Lonchura striata: one gene and its partners. The protein of the gene in region 2 binds, or shares a complex with, the protein of the main gene of each other region. Links are inferred from orthologs where the notes say so. Each region holds a gene or a part of one and is shown on either strand. Other genes may lie near its edges.

Region 1 (10,313 bases), on a different chromosome or scaffold from region 2:
TCCATGAGAGGGACAGACATTTTATGATAAATCCCAAAAGTAATACACACACTGAATGACATCTGAATGACATCAGTGAAGCCTACAACTGACCCACCTTCATTTTCACCTCGGGCCTCTCTTGAGGTTGGCTTGCTGAGGTCTTCACCCTGAACAAAAGCTCTTCGCAAAAACACCTTACTGCAAGTTAGTGTGGGAACCCAGGGCACAGGAAATATTTCTCTGTCTGCTCTGAGGGGACCTGACTCACAGAGAAGCACTGACTTTGACCCTCATTCATGGAGAAAGCTTCCAAGACTTCAAGACAGACTAGAAACCAGAAAGTGTGAAACAGATTATAGAGATTAGTATGGCACCTCACTTGGGTGAGAAATTTAGGTTTTGGGACTTTTACTATGTTGTAAATTGGAACAAGATGGAGGTTTTAGGGTGGAGGCAGTTTGTTCTTCTTCGCCTTCTTCTTCATGGGTTTGGATGATATCTCATAATCGGGCAGGAGTCCTCATTGCGGGCTTCAAAGGATCAGTTATTGGTTAAAAGGTAAAATAATCTAAGTGTCATTTCTTAATTGGACAGTTTAGTCTTAAAAAACCTTGTAACAAGAGATTGTTGGCCATTTTTGCGGTGCTTTTCCAGCGTGCAGAGTCTGGTATAGATGGCGTGCAAAACTTTTGATAAGGTAACAATAAACAAGAAGCTGAAGATCAAAAAAGTCCTGTGCATCTCCTTTTCCTGACACAGAACAGCTCCAGAAGGGTTTTCCCCCTGACAGGGGAACCCCGAGAGAGGAGCCCAACGTGGGGCAAAGAAACCGATATATTAGCTATGGGCCCCTATCAGACTATAAACTTCACCAAGTCAGTATTCCCTGTAAATCCAAGGTTTACTGAAAGAAAGCAACACCCGGCACCCAAATCTTGAAATTTGAAGTGCTAGGGCTTAATTGTAAGACTCAACTTTCTATAGTCTTACAGTGACAACTCTATTTTCCTGCCACGTGTGCATTCATTTCTAAGGTAAATATGTTGAGCACTACTCAACAATCCACTCAGTGGGATGCAAAGAAACTGTTGTTTGAAAAACTATTTCCATGGACAAGAGCAACAAGTCTGCCAGCTCACAACTGTGAGGCAAAGCAGTGCACCTGAAAGGTGTCTAAACAGTATTTTTTTCCATGAGACCTGATTACTGGCTACTTCCCAAGCTAGAGGGACAAACAAGGGTAAGGGAAGAACATTGATGCAAACACACATTATGGGCCATGATGACATCTATCCCCCTGCAGGCAGGTAACTGTTACCTGTTTCGCTCATAACTTCTGTGATGAGGCGATATCCTTCCTCTCTCATAATCCGTCCGGTGCCGACTGCTTTCCTGCCTCCTCCTATCCGGACTGCGGCCCCGATCCCGACGATCCCCGTGGTTGGCGGAGCGATGCCTGTCGCCGTGAATGTGCCCGTGCTCGCGGTGCCGGTGCTCATCGTAGTGCTTGCTCCTGTCAGGGGAGCGCCGGTCGCTTTGGGACTTCTCTCCCTGGTACTGCCCCGTGTGCCTGAAGTGGCTGCTGCTGGCGCTGCTGCCGGCAGCGCTGCTCGGGAAGGAGCCGGAGCTGTGCTGGTAGCTGCTGAAGCTGGGCGGCGGGAACGACTGCTGCGAGTAGCCTGCCGAGTACACGGGCTGGTAGCTGACTTGCTGCGGCATGACTGGCGGCGGGGGAGGGTGTGGTACCGTGGGGGGAGGCATCATGTAAGGAAAGGTGCTTTGTCCAGCAGGTGCTCCTGGCACGGGAGTGTTGCTAGGGTTTGGCACTGGTGGAGGAGTGGGTGGGAAACATGGAGGCACTGGGAAGCTCTGCCTCATCTGGTGGTTTGGAAATGGTGGCCTCATGGGACACTGGCTGATGGGATTTTGTGTGGAAGGGGGCACTGGAGGAGGATAGGGCACAAAGTCTGGCCTGGGAGGCATGTAACCGGTGGCTGGAGGGTTGGAGTAGGTTGTTGGAGGGGCAGTTTGCTGCTCATACTGGTACTGCACGGAGGGCTGCTGTGGGTGGAGCTGCCGGAGGTTCTGAGGGCGGTAGGTCTGTGTTGAAGTCCTTGCTCCTGGTCCCCCCTGGCCACGGGGACATCCTCGCCCAGAATGGAAAGACATGGCTCACCTTTATTGAGGAAAATAAAAATGCAGTGTCACACAGTTTTTGTAAGATGTCTTCAATGCATCTGCAGGAGCTACTCCTGAAGTGCTGACACTGCAGTTTCCTTTAACAGAAGCAATAAATGATATCCACTTTCACTGGGAGCTTTGTGCTCCTCAGACATTTAGTGCAGGCCATTTATGCCCCTTTAGATTCCTTCAAGCCTCTAATCCATGAAAGCACTTACTGTCTTCAAGCCAGAACGCAAGCTGGATCATGCTTTACGAGTTAGGGCAATGTAATTTCAACAAATTATTGTAATGATGGCAGGTCAAGGATACAAGCACCTCCACTAGGACTTTGACACTTTGATATAAAACCTTTGGATACCCCACACCAAAGAAATCACTCATTATTATAACTGCAGTGGTTATCCAAAGTTGTGTAAGAAGTTCTCTCTAGAACACAATTCTAAATTTTGGGCAGAATGACTTGACTAACAAATCTTTGGATGCCTCCTGGCCAAACAAATCATGTCAACTTTAAATTAAATACTAGCTTGCTATTGAGTCCCCAGTGTACTAAAGACTGAATTCAACAGACCCTTCAAACTCTTTTAAGTGAGGTACGTATATTTTTGTGGAAAAACAGGTTACACATCTTGCAGGTTATGAAAAAAAAAATCATGCAGACTGTGCTATTCCTTAATTTTCACTGAAATAAATGATTCCAAATAAATCCCTCAACTGCCTTCTTGACCCTGTTACCCTTGAGAAACCATCACTGCTTAAAGTAGGTTTAAGTGTTGCTCAAAACAAGGCATGTATTTAAGGCATTAACATTTATAAATGAAAGCACTGTGCTTCATTAAAGTTTAAATTGATTTTTTAATTGCAATGGTAAGTTTCAAAACCTGAAAAAAGGAGAAAAAACACTTAAGAAAATTTATGGCTGGAACGGAAGGAGAGGTGAAAAAAATGATCTAAGCACCTCCAGAAGTCAAATCCTGTTTTCTGTAAGGGGAAGTGAGAAAGAAAGGGGAGACACACACAATTGGAAAGATCACCAGAAAAAAGAAACAAAGCCTCCCTTTCTCTGAGGCTTTGCTGATGCTGAAGAATACACATGCACAGAATATTCTCCCACCTGCTATAGTGCAACATGGCCAACCTGGACTGCTCAGAGCACTGCTCTCAGCCACATTCCGGTGACACTGTAGTAAAAGTTGCAGCACTTGCTGAGAGAAAGCAGACAGCTTCTGGTGAACTGGAGGGAGAAAGGAAACGAAACACAGGGGCAAAGGACGGATAGCAAAGATGAGGAATCAAGAGGACCCTCCTTACACATGCAGTGCTTAGTGGAAGCCACTGGAATTGGTGGTAGTATTCCCTCTCCAGAACAATCAAGTGCCAATGTGAGTGTGATTCCCACACTATGAGGAGATAGCAGCCATGATGGTATAAAGCCACGTGTTCCTTCCAGTCAGCCTGCACCTGCTCAGTACCCTCTAATATTCTAAGGGCTCTCAAAAAAAAAAAAAAAAAAAAAAGTCACAACCAGGGGAGAAAAAAAAAAGTCAACATCCATTTTGTCTGGCAATAGCATACCCTTTTGATATTACTGACTATAATCCATCAGATGCTGAATTAACTTTGCTTTGGTTCTCCTGCTGTGCTCTTACACAACTCAGGCTTGTAACAGAAGACTGTTTTAGACTTTGCTAATGCTCCCATACACATGTTATTTAAACAGGCTGTACCACAGTGCCTTATCTTTAGGTGCGTTTCTTTCTAACATGTCACAGCATTCAAAAAAACAGTCTTGTTTATCAGCTCACAGACCTTCCCAATGCCAGAGAACTGCTCTTGATCTATTACTTTAATTTTAGTCCTTCAGCAAGCCCAGAATCACAATTGGAAAAAAAGATTCAAAAAGACACGGAACTATTTTACATGCCCAAACTATTTTAAAGCTCCCTCTGCTGCAAACGCAAGTCACATTAAACTTCAAAAACACAAAAAAGAGCAAACTCCCCTTCCCCTGTCACCTAAAGAGGAATTTTATTGCACCAATAGGAGCCATTGCATTCTAAAGCAGCACTGGTCCCCTAAAAAACACTGAATAAACTCATCTCTCCCTGCAGATGCACTGCTGAGAGCAACAGGGCACTGACACATCGAGAAGAGAGCACTGAGAGGGGACATCATCAATGCCTGTAAGTACCTAAGAGAGGGTATCAAAAAGGCTGGATTCAGGCTCTTCTAGTGCCGTGCAACAGGCACGAGAGTGAACGGACAGAAGCCGATGCACAGGAAGTTCCACCGGAACATGAGGAAGAACTTCTTTAACTGTGCGGGAACGGATTCCAGAGAGGCTGCGGCGTGTCCCTCACTGGAGATACCCAGGAACTGTCCGGACGCAATCCTGTGCCATGTGCTCTGGGATGACCCTGCAGGAGCAGGAAGACTGGACCAGGCAACCCACTGTGGTCCCTTCCGACCTGACCCATCCAGTACCACCGGCCTCGCCCCACCGGCGCCTCCCGCCGGCCCGGGGGCACGGAGCCGCCGAGCCGCCCCTGCCGGGCCCCGCTGCCCGCGCCAGCCCGGCCCCGCCAGCCCCGCGGAGCCGCCGCGCTCCCGACCCCGCGACCCCTGCGGAGCTCCACGAGCAGCGCGGAGCGCCCCGAGGCGGCCCCGCCGCCGCCCCGCGGGCAGCCCGGCACGCCGAGCCCGCCCGGCACGCCGAGCCCACCTGGCGCCCTCGCCGCCGCCGAGCCCAGCGCCGCCCGCAGCGCCCGGCTCCGGAACAGGAAAGCGATGGGAGGCGCTGCGGGCGGAAGCGCCGCCCGCCCGAGGGGAGCGGCGGCATGAGCGGAGCGGAGCCGCGGCTCGGCGATGCCGCCCGGCCCCGCGGGGCCTCCCGGCGGCGGTACCCGGCCCTGCCCGTCTGGGTGGTGGAGGACCACCAGGACGTGAGTGCCCCGCGCTGGGCTGCCGGGGGATGGGGACTGCCATGGGGAGGGTTTCCTTTGTTCCTGCCTGCGTGTGTGCTGGTGTTTCTCCGCGGCGCGGATGCTCAGAGGGGCAGGAGGAAGCGAAGAGAGGTGCCCGGTGCGGTCACCGGCGGCCTCCCGGGAGACGCTTTCCCGTACGTGTGCGGCTTCTCCGGGCGCTTCCCGGGGAGCGGCCCTCCCCTCCGCAGCCGCACACAAACCCCAAAGCCGCCTTCCCTTCCGCCCTGAAACATCAATGAACTTCAGCGCCCAGGTGGCCCGATTTTCCTTCCCGATTGACTTATTGCCATGATCGCATTTTGGCATTTTTAAAAGCAATTATTGCTGACTGCTTTTTCTTCTTTTGTAATTGAACCACACCAATTGCTGTGGTTTAAAGGAGATAATACCTACATTACACTGCTGTTTTAATTTGCTGGCTATTAGTGGGGTGCTTGGAAACTCAACCCTACCCAGTGTATGACATGTCAGCAGAGTATAAGTAAATATAATCCTATCCCATCTAGTAGATTGACTCCCACTTGATGAGGAATGTTAAAAATCTGGAGCTTTGCCTTTTTTTTTGTGGAGTCATTGAAAAAGGGAGTGAAGAAGGAATTGCTTTAGAATTGCTGTTTCTGGTTTCTCATGGGGTTTTTTATAATAGCATAAACTGAGGTTTTAATCCTAAAATAACAGATTCTTTACTTGGTTATTTGCAAAGAGAAAATGTTAGTGTAGTAAAGTGTTTTAAAGACAATAATGTTACAAATTTGTTAGTAGTTTAATACCGTTCATTTTTGTAAAGACTCGCTGAATACAGGATGCTGTGACAGCTGATTTTTACAGCTCTAAGTAGCCAAGGACTTAGAGTGTCAGTGTGGTAGGAATTCTGAGATAATACCTCTTAATGATCCTTCTTTACTTTAGTCTCTATATTTCTGGTTTTAGTCAGCTTAAAGTTATATTAATACTATATATTTAATTTAAAACATTTTCAGCACAGGAGTGTGGATTAATTGGTCTATCTTGCATAAAACATAATGGCTTTTTGTCCCGAAGTGGAAGAACTTCACAGAAGTTTTGATATCAGCCTTGCTGATAGTGATGTTCCTCCAGAGCAAGTTGTCAGTAGCTGCATCATGCACTGATTAATAATAACAGCTGTCATGAAGGAAATTTTGTTCTTAGTCCAAATCAGGAGAATTTGCAAGGTTAGAGAGGTTAGTCTTTCCTGTCTCTTGCAACCAGTAGTTGCACTTACCTGAGGTGAAGCTTCAATTTTAATTGAAAATACTGTATGTTATTTAGTAGGCCAACTTGCTTCTTTGTTACAAAAAAGTAAAAGCCATGCAACAGGAAACCCATGTTGGTTTTAATCTTGTTTTATCTATTGTTGCAATAATATACATATGTTTTACGGTTATGCCTATGCAGTATGCAGGGTTTATCATCTTAATCAGTTTTATGCCAAAAAAGTAGCTCAGTTGCTTTTGTAATGCAGAGGTCACATATATTTTTTGTTGCTTCTTACAGTCTTCACATTCCCTGTATAATAGTGCTGTCATTCACAATCCTTGTTGGATTTGCTCTGATAGCCAAGGCAGTTGATTCTCTCTAACTGTGGAAGAGCCTCTGTGAGCTCCAAGAGAAAACAGCCATCAGTTTTCTCATTTTTACCACCCCATATTATTGCAGTTCAGTGGTTTGCTATTCCTGTAAATTGGTGAGTTGCTTCATCTCCTGTTTTTCACCTATCTGAGTGAAGAACTTCAGCAGAGAATAAAGTTGGACAGGTAAGAAAGATAGTCTCTATTGCAAGCAGTAATGGAAGGATTAGGAATTAATTCTCCAAGAGGAATAGGTTTAATGATCAGCTGAAGTTTAAATCATGGTGGCGTCAGTTTTCAGTCTATATCATTTAACTTATAAAACATAAGGAGCAAACTGTTTTTATCTCCATAGCACCAGTGCATGGTGAGAAAGCTTTATAGCATGGGAAAAGAAGTACAAGGCCAATGATCTGCAGAAGAGGAAAGGCATTCCTGAGTCTTCGGTGTAAATGGAAAAAAAACCCCTCAAACATCTAGGAATAGAGTTGAATGGCTAGTGAGAAGAGCTACTGCAGACAAGACTTCCTATAAAGAAGGAAAAAGGGTGTAAGGCTGTGACTTTTCAGCAGTTTCTCATCTGGAGCACTTGGGCTTATAATGATTACTGTTCACGAGTTGTCTTGCCACTGGAGTTATTTTCCCTCTGTATTGTTTTCTGTCTCATCCTCCCTCTAATAAAATTCTAAAGGAATAAAAGTGGTACTGGTGGTTTTGCTGCTAAAGCTGTTGCATTTTTCAGCTCACTGACTATCATTAAAATGTTTTTATTCATGTTGCTTTAGGTGCTGCCTTTCATCTATCGTGCCATTGGTTCAAAGCATCTTCCTGCCAGTAACATCAGTTTTGTTCATCTTGATTCCCATCCAGACCTTCTCATTCCTGTGAATATGCCTGCAGACACAGTATTTGACAAAGAAGCTCTTTTTAGGCAAGTCCTGGGTACTGCATCAGAGTAGACTTTAAGTCTAATTCTTGCTGCCTTTGATTCACAGTGATTATTGCTATGACTGCTTAGGAGGGATGAACAAAAGTGATATAAGTCACATTCAAGTTGCATCTTCTGTCTTTTCACTTTTGCTGAAACTTTATTTTTTAATGGCAAAAGTTACATTGCGTATCAAGCAATTTAAGATGCATGACGTTGCTTTGTGTATTGACTCAATAGTGTATGATGGTATTAAGCCAAATGTTTCTTCTGGGTAACAGGAAAGCACTCTGGATGCTTTGTCTGAAAAGCTGTAATTACAAGCTGATGCATTTGGTGTACTTGAATCACCTTAGCCATAGTCAATATTTTGTTCTCTTTATTGAGTGACTAAAAGGTTTTGTGGACTCTATCACAAAATCATTGAATGCTTTGGGTTGGAAGGAACTTTAAAGATCATCTAGTTCCAACTCCCCTTCCATGGGCAGGGGCACTTGCCACTAGACCAGGTTGCTCAAGTCTCCATCCCACTTGACCTTGAACACTTCTGACTATGGGTCACCTACAACTGCTTGGACAGCCCACGTGGTGTATCTCACCACACTCACCATGAAGAATTTCTTCCTAATATCTAATCTAAACACCCACTCAGTTTAAGCCCTTGTCCTATCACTGCATACCCTTTTAAGAAGTCCCTCTCCAGCTTTCTTGTAGTCCCTTTTAAGGTATTGGAAGGTACTATAAGGTTCTGTGCAGAGAACAACCCCAACTCTCTCAACCTGTCCTCATAGGAAAGGTATTCCAGCCCTATGATCATCTTTGTGGCCTTCTCTGGACCTGCTTGAACAGGTCCATGTAATTGTTATGTGGGGAGCCCAGGGCTGGATGCAGCACTCCAGGTGTGTGGTTTCACAAGAGCGGAGCAGGGGGGCAGAATTCCCTCCTGTGACCTGCTCATCACACTTCTTTTGCTGCAGGCCAGGATACAGTTGGCATCATACACCTAAAATAAATAGGGTCTTGATTATGAGGAAAGATGCTAATCCTGTGGATGTGGATTGACTCACTCTAATTACTGGGATGACATTTAAAATACACTTGGAGAAGTTTACAATAAAACACTCTCATGAGGTCAGTTTGAAGTTATTTGCAACAATGTTGATGATGTTCCTTGCACTCTCCTCTGTCTGATGTATCAAGAGATAAAGGGCATAGAATCACAGAGTCACTGATGTTGAAAAGGCCTCTAAGGTTATTGAGTCCAACCATTAACCTAACACTGCCAAGTCCACCCCTAAGGAGTTTATAATCAAAGTGCCATGCTAAGAGTGAAGCCAATTCCACTCTACATCTACTACAGACCTTATTGGTTTGTCTTAGGAATAAAGATTTCCCTCTCTTTCTTTCTTTACCCTTACATGGAGTACTACTTTTAGATTATTTGCATGGGGGCCTTCAAGTTGTGGAAGATGTTTGTGGTGTTCTTGACCATTTATATTTATCTTGTGTCTTTCTCTACTGATTACAGTGAATTAAGTATTGAAAACTGGATTATGCCTGCTGTTTATGCTGGCCATATTTCTCAAGTCGTGTGGCTTCACCCACACTGGGCTCAGCAGATCTCGGAAGGGAAACACAGTTTTCTAATTGGGAAAGATTTATCAACAACAACGATCAGGTGAATTGTCTGCTGACATATATTAGTAATATAAAAGCCATCTCTATGGATTTTCATTGGAATTGTTTTGTTTTCTTGGATAAAGATGAACATTTAATTTATGTTTATAATTTCCTTAGAACCTAATGCAGTTATACTTGTATCAATTTAATCTTTGTTCTAACTAGTAAAATTGTTAATTGGTATCAGCCATGACTGTTTTTCTAGTGTGGGGTGGGTTTTTTTGTTTGTTTGGAGTTTTTATTGTTGCTGTTGTTGTTGTTTTTTGAAGTTAATTTAGGTAAGTACTGAAACAGGCACTCAGGTAGTGAATTCTCCATCGTTTGATAAAGGACAATTCACCTGAGCAGCCTCATCTAGCTTTGAAGTCAGTTCTGCATTGATCAGATGATTGACTAGAGACTTCCAGTTGTCTCTTTGAATCTTAATTATTCTGTGATTCAAGTTCAAATTAGAGCCCCTCACCATTCTGCAGGATGCAGTCCATAATAATTTTGTATTCACCATATTAACAGTGTTGTGATTTTGTGCAGCTTTAGGGGATATTTGCAAATCATGGCTCTTGTGAGCATAGCAAAATAAATATTTTGAAGCAAGTTTAACAGAAGACAGCAGAGAAGTGCTTTGTTTTACCACCTTAAATAAAACATTTAATGCTCTATGATTCTGAATCTGAAGCCTAAAGGGAACCTAAATGATTTTTTTAAAAAAGCTAGTGCTTTCTGTTGCATTTAATAATTTAGCCAGTATATAGGAATAATGCACAATGGTTGAATAGCTCTTTCACTGATGGCTTTAGCAGGCATGCAAACAGCATTTCAGACTTCCTTTTGAAGACATTTGGGTACATTTTCTTCAGGTTCTAGGCCTACCAAGACCATCAAAGAAGAAAGGGAAAGAATCCTCATAAATACAAATTTCCTAAAAGTTTTGATGACAAAAGATGGATGGGCAATAGATACAGCCTC
Region 2 (10,382 bases):
GACATGCATTATAAAATTACTAAGGAGAAAAACTGGTAAGAACTCTAAAATAATCCCATCTTCTCTGATACCAACACATTAATTCTCAGATTGAAAAATGGTTCATTCACCAGTAAGACAATCAATTCTATATATCTAATTCCATTCCATCCTACAAGATGACCTAAATACAATGACCTCAGCAATGAACAATTCCTTCATCTTTCAACAGGTTCTGGAATGTATAATGTAGAGAACACCCCTAGAGAGAAATTTGTCTATAAATTTCCTCATCTTCAGATTAAAAAAGTAAAAAAGAATGACAAATTTTTACATTCTTCACAGTAAATCCTAAGTGTCTTAATTCTGAACAAAAGAATCAAAAGTCACAGCATGTGTTCAGTAACTCCTGGAAACTAAATGCCTAAGTCATCTAATTTTTCCATCTTAAAGAGTCATCTAAAGCCTCTTGAAAAGAGCAAGCAGAATTCACACAGAAATGGAATACTGAAGTCAGCATTCTAGAATTTGAAAGAGCAAACCCTTCCCTTGTGTTCAAGGAGCTTCCTCATCCTGACAAAGACTTAGTTTTGACAAGGCTACGACATGATCCTCAATGCCACTTCCAGACCCCCGATACATGTCCTGCTCCTATGCTGAAGGGTTTTACCACCACCAATGTCAAAATAATACTTAACCTTTACCTGCCCAGCTCAGGCAGTTCACTGATACAACATCTCTGCTCTTTGCAGGAAAGATGTCTTGTTATTCTATTCAAGCACTGGTAACAATTATATTCTTGTTGTCTTCCCTTTCTTGCTGGCTGTGAAACCATGAATAGCTGAACGATGAACAGCAAATGACAGCCAGGGATTTTCTGCTCCTCAGCACACACTGGCTCAGGAAAAGTACTAGACCAAAATGGGTTCAAATGAGCTTTTTCCATTTCTAGCCATGAACCTGCCACATCTCTAGGGTAAAATAACAGGCTGGTAGTAATGCCAAAAAGATTTTTGCTTTTTATATGTTTTTCATATATTTGCAGCTCTGTAGACTACTACTATAGAGTTATATAGCTCCTTAATTAACTCTGGTACTTTTCCCACTTAGACTTTAGAGCAATAAGACCTTCTAAACACATTCCTGGTATATTGTTTAGTCTTATTCTAAGCAGGGGACCTACAATAAGACATAATAAGAAGTGGGCAGAGACCCCTTGGACCCAGGGATGGGTTACAAGGGCAACTGAATCTCCTGGGTGTACCTGTTAGATACCCTAATTAATTAACCTTATAATAGCAGAAATCTGGTGCCAGGTGTGCCATCATGACCAGACACCTGGAGGTTTCCAAAGAAAGGTCTGTTGTTACTATTCTAACACTGTTGCAAGGGTTTTTTTCTCTCTTTTGAGTATAGGTAACAGTAGCTCTACAGTTACAGTGGGTTACAATACCTGCCTAAAAGCCACAAAAAGCAAGGCAGAACAAGTGGAACACAAGTCCAATTCCCATCTACTTCCCTGCCAGCTGACATTACAATATGCCCTTTATATCAGGGGCTGGGAAAGAAAAAAACAACAACAACAAAAAAAAAAAAACCCCAAAAAAAAAAAACAAAAACAAAGCAACAAAACCACTGAGCTATCAGGTATTTGAAGAGACAGAAGGGAGAAAAGGCAAAAGGATGAGTTAGATGAGCTTGTAGGTAACAAACAGCCAAATGTGCCTTAGAAAAGGGAATATAACAGCCACACACAAAAAGGCTCAGCATACCAAGTTACATCATAACATAAGTCAGTTTCCTTTTGTGATTCTTCACGGAATTGTCCTGAAATAACATTTTATTCTCCAAGGCTCCACGAAGTTCCATTAACTATTTCCATAAGGATTCATTCCTTCCGAAGAGACAAACACCACTGGCAGCTGCAGCAGGCAGTACAAACACTGAAAATGTGAGTGCACAGCTCATGTTCTGCAGATTACAAGCACATGGAATTTCCACAATTTTAACTCCTTACTCTTACTTTAGCTAATCGTTTAAAAAAGTTTCATGCCACAAAGTAAACTAAACAATGCAGATACTGGGGAGCATATAAATGTAATATAGCAAACTGCACAGGTCCCAAAGAAAGCAGAGTAATCTTAGCCTCATTGTCTTACAGATGTCCTTTAAATGCCAAAAGGAAAAAACCAAATCTACTTTGCTTAGTAAGTACCACTGCCCAGTCCCACAATCAGACAAAAAAGGAAAGGGAGAAAAAACACAAAGAAAAAAGGGTATCCTTTTTCAAGACAGAAAAGAACCCCAGAATCTTAAAATTTGGAAATTTTAGCATCACCCAAACGCAAAGAAAAATTCCTTTCTGTAACAGCAGATCAGCAGTCTAGAAAAGAATTTAATAAAGAACATATTTTCTTTACTAATACACGTAGCTGCAGCAAGGAACAGCATACCACAAATTCTCTCTTCAAAAAGTCACTTTTGAAAAGAAACTGTGTCAGAGACTGCTCACTTCACATTCAGTGAACCCCAAAATGAAGAGTGGCTCAAAGGAAACTCTCCTTATTTGCTAACCAAATACAAATCCTCCGCCTCATCCTCCAGCCCTAAATGGCAACTCAGGTGCTGATCCATTAACCTATATCAAATTAATTTCCCACTCTCAGTCATCTACCTTCTTTTTATGAATACCTAATGTGTCTTTTCAACACATACAACTCTAGAAATAAGTTAATCCTATTTATTACCACTGCTAAAAAGAAAACCCACAAATCCAAAACAAAACCTGAAGAGACAGAATTTATTTTCTTTAAACCAGAACAGAAAATACCAAAAGAAAATGTGCTTTAAGATAATACTACATGTAAGAATTCAGTTCTCCTTATTATGAGCTGTAGTGTAGAAAGATTCTGAAAGAAACAAGCACTTTGTGCAAGTCAGTTAACCAAGGATGGTTAAGAAAATGGAGCCAGAACCCAACAATCATATTATCAGTGCAAATACAGACAAGGCTCAGTAACTTCTCTAGTTCCTAACACTTCATTCCATTTCAGAACGAACAGAGAACATAATTTTGGAAAGCTATCCTCAGAAACGGCAAAACAACAGTTGCTTTTAGAGCTTGAGCAGTGTTCTGGCATGATTTAGATGGCTTGATTAATTATGTAAGACAAGAAATTGATTTACAAAAGACGAAAATCAGAGCCTAGAAAACAGAAAATATAGTCTTCCTTTCCCATTATATGTAAGCTTCTTACTTGAAAAGAAAAACAACAGACATAAGGAACCAAAACCCCTTCTCTTTCTCTAAAGAAGCAAAACAACCTTGATAATCAGAAGGCGGTGCCTAGCGACCCAACTCCTCATCCAGAATTAAAAATAGGAGCCCCCAAGTTTAATTACCCAAACAGAACAATCTCTCAAATCACAAAACAAAAAAGATCTAGTTCCAAGACCTCTAACGGAATAAAGAAAACTGAATGTGTTCACCCAATTCCAGTTTATGGTCGCGCAACGCCTGGGTATTCAGGTCTCAGCAGGCAAACAAACTTTGCAGACAAACCCAAAGCTTAAGGAAAGGAGGTACAAAAGAAGGAACTATTTCCAACCAAAAAAAGATTAAAAAAAAATTTAAAAAAAATGAAGAAAGTTGGGAGCATTAACCTTACAGAGATTGAAGGAGATAATTTACTATTAATAAAAAGAACACATTAGGAAGAATGCTGAGAATTACCAGACATCACGTTACCTTCAGTGCACCAGAACTAAAGGAGTGCCCGTTTGCCCGCACACACGTCGTGCCTTTTCTTCCCAACTCCGCTGCGGGGCCGAGCCGCGCTCCCGGCCCCGTACAAAGGGCTGCGGGCGGCGGAACCCCCGAGGCACGGCCCCGCATCAGCCCGGCCAGGCGGGGCCGCGGGCACAGGCACGGCCTTGCCTTCCCTTCACAACCCCCAACGCAATCCCACGGCGAGGCGAGCAGGGTAGGCGGGGAACGACAAAAAAGTCCCCCAAAACACAAAATCACACAAGAAAAATCCCCAACAAAACCAAACACCAGCTCTGAGCAGAGGCCGCTCAGGCCGGGCGCAGGGGACGCGCCGCACGGCAATGCCCGGCGGGCAGGGCGGCGCCTTCCAGCGCTGGGGACGTCGGTGCTCGGGGAGCGGCTGCTCCGGGCTCCGCGCCCGGGGGCCGCTCCGGGCCGGCGGCGGGAGCGCGGCGGGCCCGCTGGCGCTGCGGCCTGTGGGGCGGAGGGGTTGGCGCCCGCGCGGGCCCGCCCCGCCCGTCACCCCGCGGGGCCCGCACCCACCTGGGCCATCCCCGGCGGCCCCGCCGCTCCTGTGCCGGGGCTGCGGGTGAGGGCGAGTCCGGCCGCCTCACGATCGCCGTCCCGCACTCCGCGCTGCCGCCATCTTTAAACGCCTGCGCTGGGCCCCTCCGCGGCCCGCGGGCGGGACCCCGCGCGCGCCGAGCCAATGGCGTCCGTAGCGAACGCGGTCACCGATTTGAAATCCCGGCTGCCATTGGCTCCTTCCCGTGCCTGTCACCGCGCTCCGCCAATAGGAACGCGAGAGACGCCCGCCCTCACAGGCCCGGGCCGCGGCGGGGCGGGCGGGTCCTTTGTGTGGCCCGGGCACCGCTGGGGCCTTTTCCCCCGTACAAAAAAAGCCACTTTTCCCTGAAAACGCTGTTTTGTATCTTTAAGGAACAAAACTACAATATCACTACAAGGCTGATCTACCTCAAAAGGATAAATCAAAGTAGAGCGTTTCTGCTGCTCTGTGTACCAAGCAGTTGACAGAACAAGTCCCAAATCTGACTGCAGTGTTTAGACAGTATTACTAAATAATTATTGAAAATACCTTACATAATTTATGTAAAATTACTTCGAAAGTGTTAACATTTGCTGTCCTGGTTTGCTCTATTATTTTATCATTTGCGAGCAATATAGAGCTTTTATTGATATACTTATTTATAGGGTTATTTCTTTTGTTGTTCACTAGTTGGAAATCAACATCAGACAAAATACTGTGATAATGGATCCTGATTTCATCACCAATAGTATGTTTGTGCTTGTTTCATGTGTGACTTCAGGATATGAAAGTCTTTTTCTAGTATTTGACTGATCTCATGTTTTTGAGGTCCCCAAATACTACTATGAAAGATAACTAATGTTTTAATAAAACTTTAAAAACTTACTTGGAAGACTGCTGTTAGGTCTTTACATCTTTGTGTCCTGCTGCACCAACACTTCTAATGATAGGGTGATAATTTGGACATAACACCATGGTACCATGTCAACACAAAGATCAGGTTACCAAAACTGCTTTAAATCATTGCAAGCTGCCCTCAAAAACTGAATGCAGTTTCCACTAAAAGCAGTCTCTAATTTTTAATTCCTCCTAACAGGCTTATGCACTCAAACCATTATTTTAGTGATTTTTAAATTATGACTGCTTTTATTAATGCTAAAACAAAGCACTTCAGAATGTGCATTTCATAAACACCCACAGGTTGCAAAACAGCCACTCACATCACACTTCAACTGTCAAAGCTGAGGAAAAAGATCTCACAATTAAGTAAAGAGCTTGAGTTAATGCTGGTATTTGCTGTGTCAGGTCACCTCAAATTGCTAACACTGGTACAGAAGTCTGTCCCTCTCAAAGGACCTACCAAAATTCAAGTTTTGTGACTCACTGACACCCCATTTATGTGACATATAAATGAACTACTGCAGTAAGATCCCATACTTCAGAAAAGAGGTTATATTTTTTATATGTATGTGAACAGCAGTGCTTCAGTTAGGATCAGATGTGGCACACAGAGAGATTTTTGTATAGAGTTGGAGAATCAAAATGCCTGCAGTGTTTAAAAAATGAAAAAAACAGATTTAGTTTTTCCATTGTGCATCTGTTCTCAGAGAATTGTAAGAGTATGTCTTAAACTAATGGTGCAACAGCTGATTTTTTGAGACACAGACTCTACAAGGAAATAGACCCCTAATTTTATAAACAAAAGGATAATAATCTATTAACAAAACAATGTTTTCATCCAAAAAATGCTCAAATTGTAGTTAAATTTTTAAACCCCTTCAAGAATTAAACTTCATCTGCTCTCATCTGCTCTAATAAGGTGCAAAATTCACCTGAAAATTTTCATCACCTGGACTTCTGATGGAAGACTTGTCAAGCATGCACAAAAATCTTCAGTTTTTGAATTAGAAGTGTACAGGTCCACCTGCATGGTGCGATCAGGATTAACCATAATGCCATGAAGTGTTATCTACAAAAAACCAGTTCCTAATTACAAGGAGATTTTCATATACAAGATATTGAAGGCTGTACAGAAACTACTGCTGTTCACACAAAATACAGCCATCAGGCCTGTAAAGACAGAACTATGAGCTTCCCAATAAAGTTAACAGGCTGCATTCATTGGATCGAAAATTAGGTGGAGCCAGTGGCTTTTTCATATTCTTCCTATGTCAGTAACTGCAGCACATACTGTGCTGTTTCAACAGCAAAAGCTTCTGCACGACAAGTTTTGCTCAGCCTTCATTACTTTTATTTCAGTAAAATAAGTTGCACTGCAGCTTTTCACTTTTTTTTTGGGGGCATTGGTAAACTGGTATCTGCTTGCATTACATATCTTTGTCTTTTGCTTCTTGCTGCAATCTGCTGTCCTCAATCTAATCTGTCACACATCACAGCCATGGAGAGATGTCAAAAGGACCCAATGAGCAATCTCAGGTAAGTTCTTGAATGTCAAAAGAGGTGGTTGATTGCTAAAAGAACTAATCAAAGTAGACAGAGTCTTTGGCTCAAGGATACCACACAATTACTAATCTTGCTCTTGACATTGACAGATTCAACATAATCTAAATTGTGTTGTCTACAGAATCACATATGACTTCTGATTTTCCTGTTGGAAATACTTCAGTCAAATGGTTCTCCCAAAATTCAGACTGCTGGCAGAATTTTCCCAATAATGCAGACATTTTTCTAAAGACAATATTGCTTAAAGTGTGATATGATGTCTAAGTGGTCAAATAAAAAGTAACAGCTTTGCATTGAAATCTGGAAGTTAAAACAAGAAAAAATAAGACCAAAACCAAGTGACCTTCACATTACAAACTGGGCTGTACAAGCCATGCAGAAGGAACATTCTGTTCAATTGCCAGTTGCACCTGGGCTAGTGTTATCCTACAGTGACTGAGGTTTCCCTTAGTTATTCTTCATACATAGCACAAACCTATTCCTATGGCTGAAGATTCTGCATTCTTAAAATACACTCAATTTATCTAGGGGGGATATTAGAGAAACAGAAATAATATCTATGTGGGACAGAATAGTAGTCTTCAAACTTTGATTTCTGTAGGTCCTGTCATCCAAATAGTTCAGAACACTGTGCTGAAATAGGCAGTACTTATCTGTTCTTTACAACTTAAAATAAGAAACATCATCTGAGTCAGCCTCATGGCTGTATGCACATTGTGCATTCTGGCTACCCCAGCTGCTGTTGCATGGTAGTTTCTCTTGTGAGCCATCATACACCATGAAGTTTGTAACTCAAAGCTGTGGTAACAAAGCACACTTGGTTGTACACACTTTGTGTGAACTACAGCTAAGAAGCTGCTGCTGCAATCCCTCAGCCTGGACTCGTCTCTACATTGCTGGCAGCACACAGACATGAATCAGGAGCGTAATCTCTGGCTGTCAAAAATCCAGGTGTAGTTGCACTTATAGAAGTAAAACCATAAATGTCAGTACCTTTGTTTTCCCTGACAGAGGCCAAATAAATTACAGTTCTGAGAGCACAGTTGTGCTGCTAGGGTTGTTTTTAATGCAGCTGCCATCCTGGGATTGCTTTGCCAGTCTAAACTCATGCACATTACAAGAGAGAACTCAGACTTGACTGGCATAATATATTGATAAAGAAAAGAAGAAAATTTGCAACTGCTGTATTGCAAAGACACTGACACAACACATCTATATATGCTACATTCAGAAGTACAAGAGGCTAACATAAGAAGATTTATGCAGCAAAATAATTGGTGCAGAGAATTTAAATCTTCATGCAAGGTGCATTTCAGACAGTTTTGCTCAGGTTAAAATCATTACCTGTTGGAGAACACTTGGTCCATTCCTCAAGCACCTGTTCTGTTCCATCTGAAACCAGCCTAGACCCTGGCACCTGAGGCTGCCCTGAAATGTGAGCCAAGGCACAGTAAACAGGGACAATCAACAAGGAAAACTATGTAAAGGCACTAATCAAACCAGGGTGATAATGCAGACCCATCTGTAACTGAGAGGACAGTTAATTCTTCTCTAAATCCCAGCCATACCAGTGAGACAGAAGAAACAGGAGATGGATAATGCATCTGACTAAGATGTGGTTTTACATAGTTATTTTGAGTAGCTATTGACAGCAAATATAGCGTAGGGAAAGGAAAAAAAAAGCCTAGCTTTCTCATTCACCTTTTCCTTGCAAGAGTACATTCCTTTAACAGGGGCAAAAACCTCAAGCATTGAATACTAATTACAATGGCATACCACAAAAAGAGACACTACTGGCCCCACATATTTTCTAGTTTATCATTTAATGTATGTTAATTCACATCTGAAAAGTGATGTGGTTTTCTCCACTGAACAGAAGCAAGCAATGTGTTTACCCAGTCGGGCAAGTTACTGACCAGAGCTGGCTCTGTGTGTCAGGAGAGACACCGATGGAAAACACTCCAGCATCACCAGAGGGAAGCTGGAAAGCACCTGAGTGCCTTAGCAGGCACTGTCACTCAGAGGCCTCAAAGAGAACAGCAGCACAAACCAAGAGTATCATTCTGTATTCTCTGTTTTCCCCTTCCTCTCTCCATCTTCTGATCTGCATTTAGGTTTCAATAATTTTTCTCCATGTATCTTTCTAGTGCAAAGACATGACAATTTAATGTGCATCAGCAGAGATACTGCTTTTTTTCTTATTCATATTGTGCATAACTTATACATTGTCATTTTTGGCTATCCTGCTTAATATTATAATATTTATTATTTCTTCCTCATCTGTGATCCTATGTTCAGTGCTTATGTCTTCTATTTCAAAAGACAGGGTAAATTTGAGCATGTCAACTGGCTTGCTTTCATTCAGCTTCTAAGTTCTTGATACACAATGTTACACAGATAATTTATATATATATATATATGAGAAACATATTCAACATTTCTTCAGTCTGTTCACCTTAACCTACATTTTGCAGCATGAGTCACACTGATGGGTTCTGTAATTCTCACAGTTCATGTCTCTCCAGCTGATTGCAGCACTGATTCTATTTTCACCAAGTCAAGACTATTTCCTAGATCCTTAGAAGCTATCAACAAGACTTCTCTGCAGAAAATGAATCAGATGAAGAACATCAGCCATGTCCTGTTACATCAATTTGAATGAAAAAAACCTAACTCCTACTATCTAATATTCCATATAAATAGGGATACTTGCTAAGCCATAAATGTGCATTAAGTTCTATAGGCTAAAACTGAAATGTGAGATACTTTAATTATTGCCTTATTACTGCTTAGTATTGCATAGATTAATTCCAAAATTAGTTATTTCCTTATAGTATGACAAAAACAGTGTTTCAAGTCTTATCAATATTTTATCTTAATTATTCAGTTTGGTGTATTTCACTTGTAACAATAAATATCAATGAAGTTTTGAACATAGAGGAACTCCAAAGGCCCAACTCCTCCTCTGCTCTGTTCAGGTGTGTTTTATTAAGCTGCTACAAGGGAGATGAGACAATTCCACCTCCACTGCAGGGGCCAGTACAGCAGAACATTAATGCAAGCTCTAATCAGTGTAATAGGAGTCTCAGGTCTGCCAAGGATCCAGACCTTTTCCACAGTGAACAGGGATTCCCCATCCTCCAGCAGCATTTTGTGAGGCTCCACTTTCCCCTAAGGAAGCATTAATTTCGCTCTTTCCTATCTTTCAAATATTTTCCAGTTTCTTACCTAAGACAACCATACAATAGCACAGAATTAGGAAATACCCACAAGAATATAAACCCCCCCGCAAAAAATAGAGCACTCTTAAAATTAAGTACTAGAAACAGAACTTAAATTACAGCTCCTTCATCCTTAATATGGCATTAAAGATTTTACTTCATTGTATCACACCAAATTACAGGCAAATGAACAAAAACATATGTGCAAAAAATGCACAATCTACTAATGCCAACAAAGACTGGTCACCAGCTTGACTTTATTCTGATTCTAGTTTTGAACACACATGTAAACAACAATTATGATACAATTTTAAGCAAAAAACATAGCTGAGGTTTTACACATTTTAAAAGTTCTTCCACTACCATTCCAATAGAAAAAAATCAGGAAACAAAAACCTCTTGC
Region 3 (10,579 bases), on a different chromosome or scaffold from region 2:
TACATGAACAATATGCCCCATTTAGTGAAAACCCACAAATGCTCACAGCAATTGTATTCACTGCTAGCTGTACCATTACAAGAGAAAAATCAGTCTACTCAGAATTAAAACCGAATGGAGAGCAAACCCACAACTACAGCTCATTAGAGACATCGACATCAGAGTGCACAAATTATAGTGCAGTATAAAGGCATAATTAGAGCTTCTTTCACTTCTTGATAAAGGATGATTTTATGTATTCTCTTCTGTTTATTCTAAATCTAAGCAGAACAACATAAATTTAGTGGAAGCTAAAACAATATACATTAAAGCATATTACTAAAATGAAATTTAGAAGTTTAGAAATGCAAAACCCAGCACTACAGGAAAAGCAAAGGACTACAGTTACCTCTCATTCCCAATTAGCAACAACAGTACACCAGATGTTTGCAAGTTTCTCTACAGCATCAACTTTATAGTGCTTTCCCTTGCAATCAGTAAGCCACTGCCTTTTATCTTCAATGTTTTGATTCTGACCATACTGGAAAAATCTCATACATGCAATGGTCATCTAATAGCACAAGTCTCCAAGCAAAAGCAAAATTTAAAGTGACTCCAAATAGAGGTGATGAGCCCTGGCTATTTGAAACAATGCCATAACCTCAAACTGAGGTCTGTTAAGGCTTTCGGCTCAAAGACACACTCCACACAAATATCCCTGCAAGACACAATCTCTGGTCACTTTGAACTCTTCATTAGAGAAAATGAGGTGGTTACAACAGTGACAGCAGACTAAAACGGGATGATTGAACACAGAGATTTAGATGTATAATGTATACCACTAGGCAAGAAGAAATGCCTGCTACTCTGTAAATTAGCCCTATATAACCATAACTTTCAGCTAAGTATATTAGTTCCAAGATGCTTTTCAGCTTCAGAGGAAATTCTTATTAGGGTAGGGACACAGATTTGTAAAACACCTCCTGCAATTGCTTTAATGAGAAGCAGCCTAAACTACAAAGAGAAGCAGTAAATACTCCATAATTTCATTCTCTGCCAAAGGCACCCTTACACCTCCTTTGAAGTTCCAGTGGAAGTTAAACTCTCCCCAGAGCAAGAAACACTACACATGACCTGTCGTAAAAGGCTGTTATTCCATGAACAGTACAATATCCAGACCCACAAATGATTGGATAACTCAGCAAGAGTCACCAATCTGCAGACTGATCATATCCCTCCATGTGCAATATCATGCCTATAGTAGCTTTGCATTTCTATGCCTGCCTTGTGTCATGCTGCTCTGAAGCTCTTCTATCAATCTCATCTTAAAAACTCTAAAAAGAAGCCTCAGTATATAATAACACACCATGACTAAGTTATCTTGAATGAGGCATTCTGGGTTTGGTTCTTACCCTCCAAAATGTCTTCATAAAGTGCATGTACTCCTTCTGGCACAATGACAGCCAAGGCAGTTCCACACAGGAGGCCAGCACCCAGAACAGTCACCAACTTCAATCTCTCCTGCAATTAAGTACAAAACAAGTATAATCTTTAAGAAAGAAAAAACTTTCTTTACTCTCCCTTATTAACAGATGTTGGGGAAGGGGGTTACTCGTTACATAAATATTGAGAATTTTCAACTAAACCTTAACAGCAATATATAAACCTAATGTTTTTATAGTAAAGAATAATAGTTTTATTCATATTTTTGGAATCATTTCTATAACAAAAACCAAGTTTTTCAGAGTTATCTTCCTAGTTATATTCTAGTCTGGGGCAAAAGGCTGAGATATATCCTCCTCCCAAATGAATTACATTCTGTTTCACCAAGAAATTCACCAATTCACTTCCTTTTGACTATGCTGACAGGCTGAAGTCAAAGCCACATACTAAAAGCCAATTGTTATGATATAATAGAGTCTAAAATATAACAATTAGCAGAGGCCATTGCTCATAATTTCTATAAGAACCCCCATCATACAACATATAGCAACCACAGGAGTTTAGATACTCCTAAGAACTGTGCAGCACATGTTCAGTGGCAGAATCACCATCATCTTCTATGTTTAGTGAGAAGTCTGAGCACCACCAAAACACTAATGATAACTACTGAGGACCTAGAGAGAGAGGGCAGCATTTGAATAGCAGGAAATCACTTGTTGCATATCATTTTTATGCCATCACTCTCCTTCATCCACTATAACCACACAAACAGTTCAGTGTCAATGAAATGTGCAACACTTGCACAGAAGCAGGAGGCATTAGGAGATGCACAACCAGCTTCCTGAAAGCAAGCCAAATATGACCATAAGGGAACAACTGCAGCATTACTGGGGAAAACTCCAACAGTCATATGCAAGAGATGAAAACAAGTGTAAAGCTCCCACAAACATGCACTGTATACTTGGACATAGAATAATTACACTTGGCAAATTGGCATACAATGGCAATCTACACGAGAAGATAAATTTTCAACATTTGCTGTTCAAGTAATTCTGCAAAAATATAGTAACATACAAGGAAAAAAACATTATTTTTATCTGCAACACTATAGTATTTTTTGCATACACACACACAGAGTAAAGTGTCAGAAGTAATACTGATTAATTACAACTGCAAATACATGGCATAGCTTGCCTTCACTCAGGCACCTGTGAATTTTAAAGATCCATTAAAAGAATACAGACTAACAAGTTAATTCAAAGTAAGTCTCCATCTCATTTTCAGTACAAAATAGTTGCTTGTAGTGAATACAGAAATTTAGTAAGAACAACCTACATATATAGGTAGAAGGAATACACCTTTATACAAGAAATCAAACCATTTCTGTTAAATACACTTGCATGTTAAAAAACAAGAGCAACACAGTAAGCAGTGCTAAAACTCTACAGGAAAAATTTCAAATTAGCAAACCGCTTCACCATTCAGTATTTTTTTAAGTCTGTAGGGCACTGAAACTTTTACTTGGACCTATCAAAAACTCACACCTACTTTCAGGAGGAAGTGACCCCAGTTCCTGCCTCATGTTATACCACCAAAACATTTCAACTGCTAAAACTTCAATTTAAATTTTTTTTTTTATTTAGACTACAGTTTAAGTGACAGCCTCAGAATTGGAAGAGTGCTGTCTCCAGCCCAAAATTAGACCAATAGAGCCCTGTATATTAGGATTAAAGTGAAAGGGTACCTCTGCACACAGAACTAAGGCACAGCTCTCTTCAGTTGGCACCTTTCATCACTCATGTTTAGTCATACCTGGCTTTCCCAGAGTTTTATACTCTCACCAATATCCTAATCTAATTGAAATAATAGAACACAGCATGAGATCAGAACATAAATAATAAATTCCATGGCAAAAAGGAATCTGAAGGAATGTATTAACACTATTAACACATTAGTGTATTAACACTAATGAATAATTTTATTGTTCTGTAGTATCTGGGGTATACCATGCACAGCATTCACTTTTGTTTTCAACTCAATCATTACAAATGGCCAGTGGGAAGAGGTATTTTTACTCACTTTGGCTACCTGCAAAACTTTTTGCAAACTATAGAAAGGACCGTCCAAACAGTCATTTCAGTTTGAAATTGTCTTTATTGCAGATTCCTAACCAATAATTTTAAACAAAACAATTATAACTTCTAATTAGACACTTCCAGGATTAGCTGGGATTTGTACATCATGTGCAGAGATATTCTGCTCTTTTTAAACCAGCACTGCATGCAAACCCTTAAAAATATCTAAATCAAGTGTAAAACCAACTCTAGAATCTCTGAGAGCTTAAGATAGTAATAAACTTGACTGCACATTGCATAGTGGTGGTTCAATACCACACACACAAAAGGCTAATTAAGTACATGATTACTGCTTAGGCAGTTTTGGATCCACAACAGATCTGTATTCCTGCAACTCCTGGAAGCCTTGAAAAGTTTAGGAGACCACTGAATGAACCACACTGCATCAACTACACAAAGTAAACATCCAGACAGATCAAGAACCTTAACTTCAAACAACACTGAATATAAATTAAGAGTTAACAGGTGACTATCAAGCACATACATGACGAAATGTAAAATTAAATTTAAAAAGAGATAATATTAGCACACAAGGCAGTGCTCTCAGCAAATGTGCAAGAAAACCTTTTGTGGGCTTCAGGCAGAAATGAGTTTTAAAGAGCAAGACAGTGGGAGCAACAACACTAAAGACACATAAAGGAAGGTCCACCAAAGCATCAGATGAAGCACTGGCAAAACAGAACTCTGCTGATGTTCATGTGAACATGCCTGAATAGAATGTTAGGTTTCAACTCATTTAGCTGAGCTGTACTTATCCTAAAACAAACAGCCTTTTCTTCCAAGCTGCTCAAGGTCTACTGCTCCCAAAGCCTCCAAGTAATGATGGGACCAAAGGACAGGTGCGAGCAGCTCTCTGATTTAATGGAAGACAAAGGCAAGACAAGGGAAGACAAATTTCTACTCCAGCACCCTGCTTCCCAAAAGTAACACTACTTCCAAGAGAAATGGGAACTCCTCATGAGAGTGCTCTTAGTACCATAGTACAACTAAACTCTCACTATGCCATGCCTCTATAAAATAACCATCATTTAGAAAGAAAAAAACCCCTCGGGTACCAGAGGATATTAGGAATCCTACAGAGGCTGTGACAACCATGCTCACCTCAACAACTATTTCTTAGAAGCACACAAAGATGTTTAACCAGGAACTCCTGTACTGTTTGGCAACTTACCCAATCTTTGAAAGTTTCCCTCTTCTTTAAGTACCTTATTTATCCAAGATATTTTTCTGAAAGAATGCCTTGAATTACATGGGGCAGTAACTCTATAGTAATCAAAGAGCTAAGATTTAACTTTCAACAGTGAAAGCTGTGAGCTAAAATGTGAATCAAAGTTTTTCTGACAATATTCTTGGAATTGTTTTAGAAGCCTTAATTTGAGTAGCCCACAGGCACATAAGAGATAATCACTGACTTCAGCCATTTCTTACACAAGCTTCTAAGAATAGCCATGCTTATTCATGTCGTTACACTACGTGCTGAGAATTCACTTCACCTGTAGCAGAGACCCGACTCAAATCTAGCAAGTTTAAATGGCCACTGTGAAACAAGCATAATTTTACACAGTAGTTTTGAATGAAAATTAATACTGCACTCATAACTTTTAAAGATAAAGCTTCACCCTTAGCAGCGTTGCCATATTGCAAGGGGACGGCACCAACTCCTACTGGGAGATCTCTCTGGTTTCTCCCTTAGCAACCAGCGCAGTTTGGCGGAGTTGTCTTACCTCGGAAAAATTAACCGCCAAGGGGATAATTCCTGCCACATAGCAGGCAACCAGCATGGCCAGGGACAGCAGGCAGATGGAGGGGAAGTCATCCATTTCGCCGCTTTCTGTCCGGTCCCTTGAAGTGAAATCCAACAGCAACTTTTCCACCTCCCAGCACGCCTTAACCCGTGCAGCCACGGAGCTCCCGGGAGAGGCTTTGGGCCATGTCTCTGCGCCCGGCGGCAGCGGCCGGCTCGGCCCGCAGCCGGGGTGCGCGGCCGGGCGGGAGCGGCTTGGCCAGCGGCCGGCGGGCCCGGCCCTCACCTGGGCGGGGGAACTTGCACCCGCACCGTGCTGCGCGCAGGGCAGGCGGGAGGGAGGGCTGGGGGACAGCGAGCCCGCAGGCGGCTCCTCGCGGCGGGGCAGCCCCAGGCGGGGCCGAGGGGACCGTGCGGGACCGGCGCTGCCAGCCCGTTCCCGCGGCCGCTGCCCGGCGGCCAAGTGGCACTCGGCGCTTCCCCTTCCGGGCCGCCCCGCCCCGCCCCGCGCGCTGCCCGCCTCCAAGATGGCGGGCGGCGCCTCGGCCCGCGAGGCGCCGCGGGCGGCTCCCCCACCAAAGATGGCGGCGGCCGCGCCCCGCCCCCGCCAGCCTGGCCGCGGCCCCGCGGGCGCGTGCGCGCGCGGCGCTCTGGCGCGAGCGGCTCTATGGTGGCGGCCGTTGGCGCGGCGGCGCTTCCGGCGGGCGCGAGGGCCTGTGGGGGATCGCCGCGCGCCACTTCTGCCGGCGGTGCTGAGGGAGCGGAGCCGCCATGGTGAGAGCGGGACGGGCCCGCCGCGTTCCGCCAGCGCCGCGCCCGCCGGGGCGGCCTTCCCTTCCCTCCTCTCCCTGTTCCCCGGGTCACTGCGGGCGGGAGGGCCGCGGCCGCTGGTGCGGGCCCGGGCGGGCGGCTGCACGTTTTGGCGGGGCAGGGCCGGACGGGGCGGGAGCACAAAGGCGGCGGTGGCGCTCGGGCAGCGGGGCGCTGGAGGCTCCTGCCCCTCTCCCCCAGAGCCTCGGCCCCTCTTGGGGCGCTGCTGGGATCCCAACGCTTTCCTGCGAGTGTCGCCCGTCGGACGAGCCGGCCTTAAATGGCTGATCTGCGATTTCCATGCTGCTTTCCCTGCTCCTCCCCTCTGCTCGAAGGAGGGAAGGGCGGGAGCTGCATTTATGGGCACTGGGAATGGCACGCTGAAGCTCAAAGGCCTCCCTATTAACGTGGTTTGTTGCGTTCATCTAATGAATTAAGATGAGCTGAAGCAAGTGATTGCTGTGCAGTGGGAGGACAGCCTCTTGTCGGTTTGCAGCGAAGTTTCATATCTGCCTGGTACTTGCTCCAGTGCAGTTGACTTCGGCCATGATGTGCAGCTGCAAGCCCTGTCCCTGTTGGCCAAAATGAAAGGTGGGCCTTAGGCCACTTTTTCTGCTTGGCATTTAGGTGTGTGCAGTATGCGACTGGTTGGTATTTGCATTACTGCACATCTTACCCTTATAATATGTGTATATCTTCCACTTTTATTGTTTCAGGGCGCTTTTTTTTCCACTTTATTGTCAAATACACTACAGTTGGTGGAAGCCTCTTTGGGCGGCAGATGCTGTGTAGCTTTAAGTCCTGCTGGTTTGGCTCTTGGCACTGCTTTAACCAGTTTTACAGGGTTCTGCTCTCAGTAGCAGGAGCAATTTCTCAAGTGCTCTCCAGAAGTTCAAAATTGGTATAATATAAACCATGTGATTCCTCATTCTGTGTCCTGCTTAAAAGCAGCGAGTAAACTGTGCTTTTAAGGAAAATGCAAAGAAATTCAACATTATGTATCATCATAGTAACGGTCCATATTGGGCTTCTCCAGACGACCTGGTGCTAATGCAGAAAGGTTTGTGGATCTTCCCTTGTTTTGGTTCTGTCACCTAGGCTCACAGGGCAGGTAATAGGAGACTTCCCTAAGGCTTCTGAGCTTGTCATTAATTTGTACCTACGTGGTAGGACAGGACCAGCAATTTTATCAAATCCAACAAATTTTCCTTTAAAGTAAAACAATGTCAAGTTCCCAAAGAAATGTTTGAAAAGCATTAATTCTACAATACACGTGATCCAGTGGTATTAATTTACATATTTTTCTGAGCCAGTATCTGATAATGGATATTGTATAGTGTCTGAAGTGATAAATGGCTTAAAGTCAGAAGTCTGAATGACTTCTGCTGTGAAGTTCTGAAGGAACTGGCTTACGTGTCTGGCTCACTGATGTTTCTATAATCTGATTATTTGGGTAATTTCAGAATTTATACATTCATTTAGCACTCCTCAGTGACCATCTAACTAAAATGATAGTGCTGGAAAAATTATTTTATGGTAATCTTTGCCAGTCATTTGGACTCCCTGCTAAGACATGCCTGTTCCAAGTACTGTGCACTTAGGAACAGCCAGATACCAACCCACCTTGGGGAATTCCCTTCAAGTCAGTCATCCTCTGGCATACATGAAAGTGGATTTAAATTATCTCCTCTCCTTTGTATGGTTTTTGTTGTTACAGTGTGCAGCTCAGAATTCCCCTTTTTTCCATTACTGATTAGATAAAGCCTCGCTCCTTCTTTTTCTCTGCATAACATTTTCCTGAATTTCTCAGAATCTGCTACTGCTGTGTTGAGACAAAGAACTGAAAACTGTATTCCAAGGATGGGAACACTGTCAGTTATGGGATAAGAATTTGTCCTGTTGTTTGGGTTTTTTCCTGTAAATCCTAACATTTGTCATTTCTCTTTTCTGTCACTGCTTTTCATGAGCACCGAATTGGTATCTTTACTGATTTCCAAAGTATGGGTCAGGATTTTTCTGTCAGCTGCTGATTAATCTAAGACAGATGATATCTGCAGATGCCTTTGTGTTGTGTGCTCACCTCACATATTACCGCTGAAAATGTTGGATCCAACTAGCAGCACTGGAAACGGCCATTTGCAGTATGCTTGCAAACTTTCTGTGGTATGCAACCTGTTAATGAGATCACAGATTGTGTACACTTCAAAAATCTTGCTTTTTTGCTCAAATTACTTGCTGCAGCCAAGTAAAAATGTTATGGAAATAATGGAAGCCACAGAGTGTACAATCATCTAAGCCTTTCCCGCAGAAGAACAAGCTTATGGACTCCAACATTTGGAACAGTTTTCTGTGCCATAATTACTGTTTAAGTAAACTCATTGAAGTGGGAAAAACCAGTACATCTGTTTTGCAAGAAATAATCTTGAGTGCTAAGTACAGATTTATTGTATCACTTCCCTTGAAGTTAAATTGATAACTTAAAACAGCTAATTCTGTTAAAATCTTTCATGTGAACATGACAATGTTGTTAAGTTGGGTCCCCTCTTTGCTCTTTAATTGGGGCATTGGAAATTTTACTAACAGCTTGCATTTGGAATTAAATAAGTAAATGCAGTAATGCCACAGCTCTTATACATTGACTTTATTGCTTTGCTTGTCTGTCTAAATAAAAACTGTTCCTGTGGTATTTTTTTTTTCAACACAATAGCTGTTTACTGGTGATTTTACACATTTTAAAGTTCCATAAGGATTGATAGGATCTGTTGAAAACAAAACTAACACAGCTTACATATATAGTAAATGCTATGTGGAAAATGTCTGTGTCCTCGATTGCTAGTCTAGTGTTTCACTATTGTGCTTCATTTTACTCCTTCTTTCATATAAATAACTTGATTCAAACCAAAATCATTCAAAGTGTGCAAGTAACCTGTATTTTTGTGTTTGTTTTGTTTCCCAGTCTCACACAATTCTACTTGTCCAGCCTACCAAGAGGCCAGAAGGCAGAACATATGCTGATTATGAATCAGTGAATGAGTGCATGGAAGGTAGGTGGATGCAGACATGGAAGTTAAAAACTATTGTTAAAATCCTCTTTTTGACATATTCACAAACTTAATGAGAAAATAAGCTGTTTTTCAAAAGTAATTCACAAAAACCCTCATGCTTTTAGCTTATTAATGTTCTAGCAAACTAAAAACTAGTTATTATTTGTTTCTAAAACTTCCTTTTTCTATTAAATGTCTGGTTTTGATTTAACTAGATGAAACCACATCCAGTTTGGGAGAGTAGATAATATTCTTTCTGGGCTCATGCAGCAGACCTGTTTCAATGCATTTGATTGCAGGATCAGCAGTTAATTCTCAGTATTCTTTTCTTAGCACTGTAAGGCAAAGTTTGCTGCTGGAAATAATATATTAAATAAAGGATTGTGTGCAACTGATGCATAACATGCAGTCTCATGGCACATGTGCCAGAGTAAAGATCCTGCAAAACTTTGATACGCATAATGAGCGTGGAAAGAAGATTGAAATATTAGAGCTGTCATTCACTTAACATTAGTCTTGCAGGAGGTTTTGTGAGGCAAACAAAAGTATAACAAAGACCACGTAAAGTCTCTGCTCATTTTAGTACTACATTCTTCTCAAATGTATCTGAATTTAGTGGACTAGTTTAAATAAATAAAAGTGCTTTAAATGTATATACACATTTGTGCTGTCATTCTTGCCGCAATACCTTGTTTGACTCTTGGATCAAGAAGGATCATTCTTAAGAGTTCTTCTGTTTCTGAGGTGTTTGTGTAGTAGGAATATATGTTCTAATTGTTGTCTTAAAATTATTAGAAATAGTTCCAGATGTCTGTTGGAGCTTACTGCATGAAAAGTTACATATTTGACAGCACTAAAACTTTTCTTTCCATGCATCTTACCTGGATTTATAGTACTATGTTTCAATGCAAATTGCTAGGAACAAAAGTATTTCAGCTCTAGAAATTTTGATTGTTTTTATGGTGGTAATTTCTAAACTTTTATTTGTGGATCAAGAGCTGAAACAGTTTCAGCTCATAGAGTCTTTAAATATTTCATGGTTAATCTTGTTTCTCTGTAGGAGTCTGTAAAATGTATGAAGAGCATCTGAAGAGAATGAATCCCAACAGTCCATCCATTACATATGATATCAGCCAATTGTTTGACTTCATTGATGACTTGGCAGACCTCAGCTGTCTTGTGTAAGTTCCGTTGTACAAATCCATTTCAGTGACTTAGGAAAGTCAGAAGTCTTCCCTCTAAACTCTTCTGTGTGAGTTTAACATAGTGCTGTTTTGTGTGGTTTTTAGCAGTAACTGTAGTGCAGCAGTATTGCAGCTAGCAAGTTGCCCAGTCCAGTTAAGAGTATAGATATAAGGTACCTCTAAAAGAAGGCTTAGAAACTAATGGTTACTCTTGGATTTTATTTACATTGAAACTGACTG

What was found.
Region 1: the proteins of DGCR8 (region 2) and DROSHA are in contact, whole or in part, in a crystal structure (PDB 5B16), measured with the Homo sapiens proteins. The link is inferred for Lonchura striata from reciprocal best matches to the Homo sapiens genes DGCR8 and DROSHA. Residues at the interface, in NP_073557.3 of Homo sapiens: Asn728, Ile731, Leu732, Lys734, Leu735, Gln736, Glu738, Met739, Lys740, Leu742, Ala743, Arg746, Arg750; in NP_001369437.1 of Homo sapiens: Leu984, Leu987, Phe988, Thr998, Tyr999, Thr1001, Ala1002, Ile1003, Gln1005, His1008, Phe1069, Asp1073, Leu1074, Glu1076, Val1077, Trp1078, Asn1080, Pro1082.
Region 3: the proteins of DGCR8 (region 2) and ERH are in contact, whole or in part, in a crystal structure (PDB 7CNC), measured with the Homo sapiens proteins. The link is inferred for Lonchura striata from reciprocal best matches to the Homo sapiens genes DGCR8 and ERH. Residues at the interface, in NP_073557.3 of Homo sapiens: Lys107, Phe108, Ser109, Pro110, Asp111, Leu112, Leu114, Leu115; in NP_004441.1 of Homo sapiens: Val8, Pro10, Thr11, Thr18, Tyr19, Ala20, Glu27, Lys34, Met35, His39, Arg42, Met43, Phe60, Leu64.

The regions. Positions count from the first base shown.
Region 1 is NC_134603.1:97,750,852-97,761,164, reverse strand, and holds the start of DROSHA (ribonuclease 3), read right to left. Parts: upstream 4,940-10,313; 5' UTR 4,889-4,939; intron 4,584-4,888; exon of another isoform or gene 4,358-4,583; intron 3,659-4,357; exon of another isoform or gene 3,478-3,658; intron 3,471-3,477; exon of another isoform or gene 3,281-3,470; intron 3,250-3,280; exon of another isoform or gene 2,159-3,249; 5' UTR 2,152-2,158; coding exon 1,301-2,151; intron 1-1,300. Other genes in the region: C1H5orf22 (UPF0489 protein C5orf22 homolog), read left to right, coding at 5,004-5,108, 7,525-7,670, 9,196-9,345. UniProt on the Homo sapiens protein: Ribonuclease III double-stranded (ds) RNA-specific endoribonuclease that is involved in the initial step of microRNA (miRNA) biogenesis.
Region 2 is NC_134620.1:8,228,970-8,239,351, reverse strand, and holds the start of DGCR8 (microprocessor complex subunit DGCR8), read right to left. Parts: upstream 4,433-10,382; 5' UTR 4,292-4,432; intron 1-4,291.
Region 3 is NC_134608.1:33,809,751-33,820,329, reverse strand, and holds the start of ERH (enhancer of rudimentary homolog), read left to right. Parts: upstream 1-5,965; 5' UTR 5,966-6,072; coding exon 6,073-6,075; intron 6,076-9,067; coding exon 9,068-9,155; intron 9,156-10,215; coding exon 10,216-10,336; intron 10,337-10,579. Other genes in the region: SLC39A9 (zinc transporter ZIP9), read right to left, coding at 1,392-1,500, 5,282-5,377. UniProt on the Homo sapiens protein: May have a role in the cell cycle.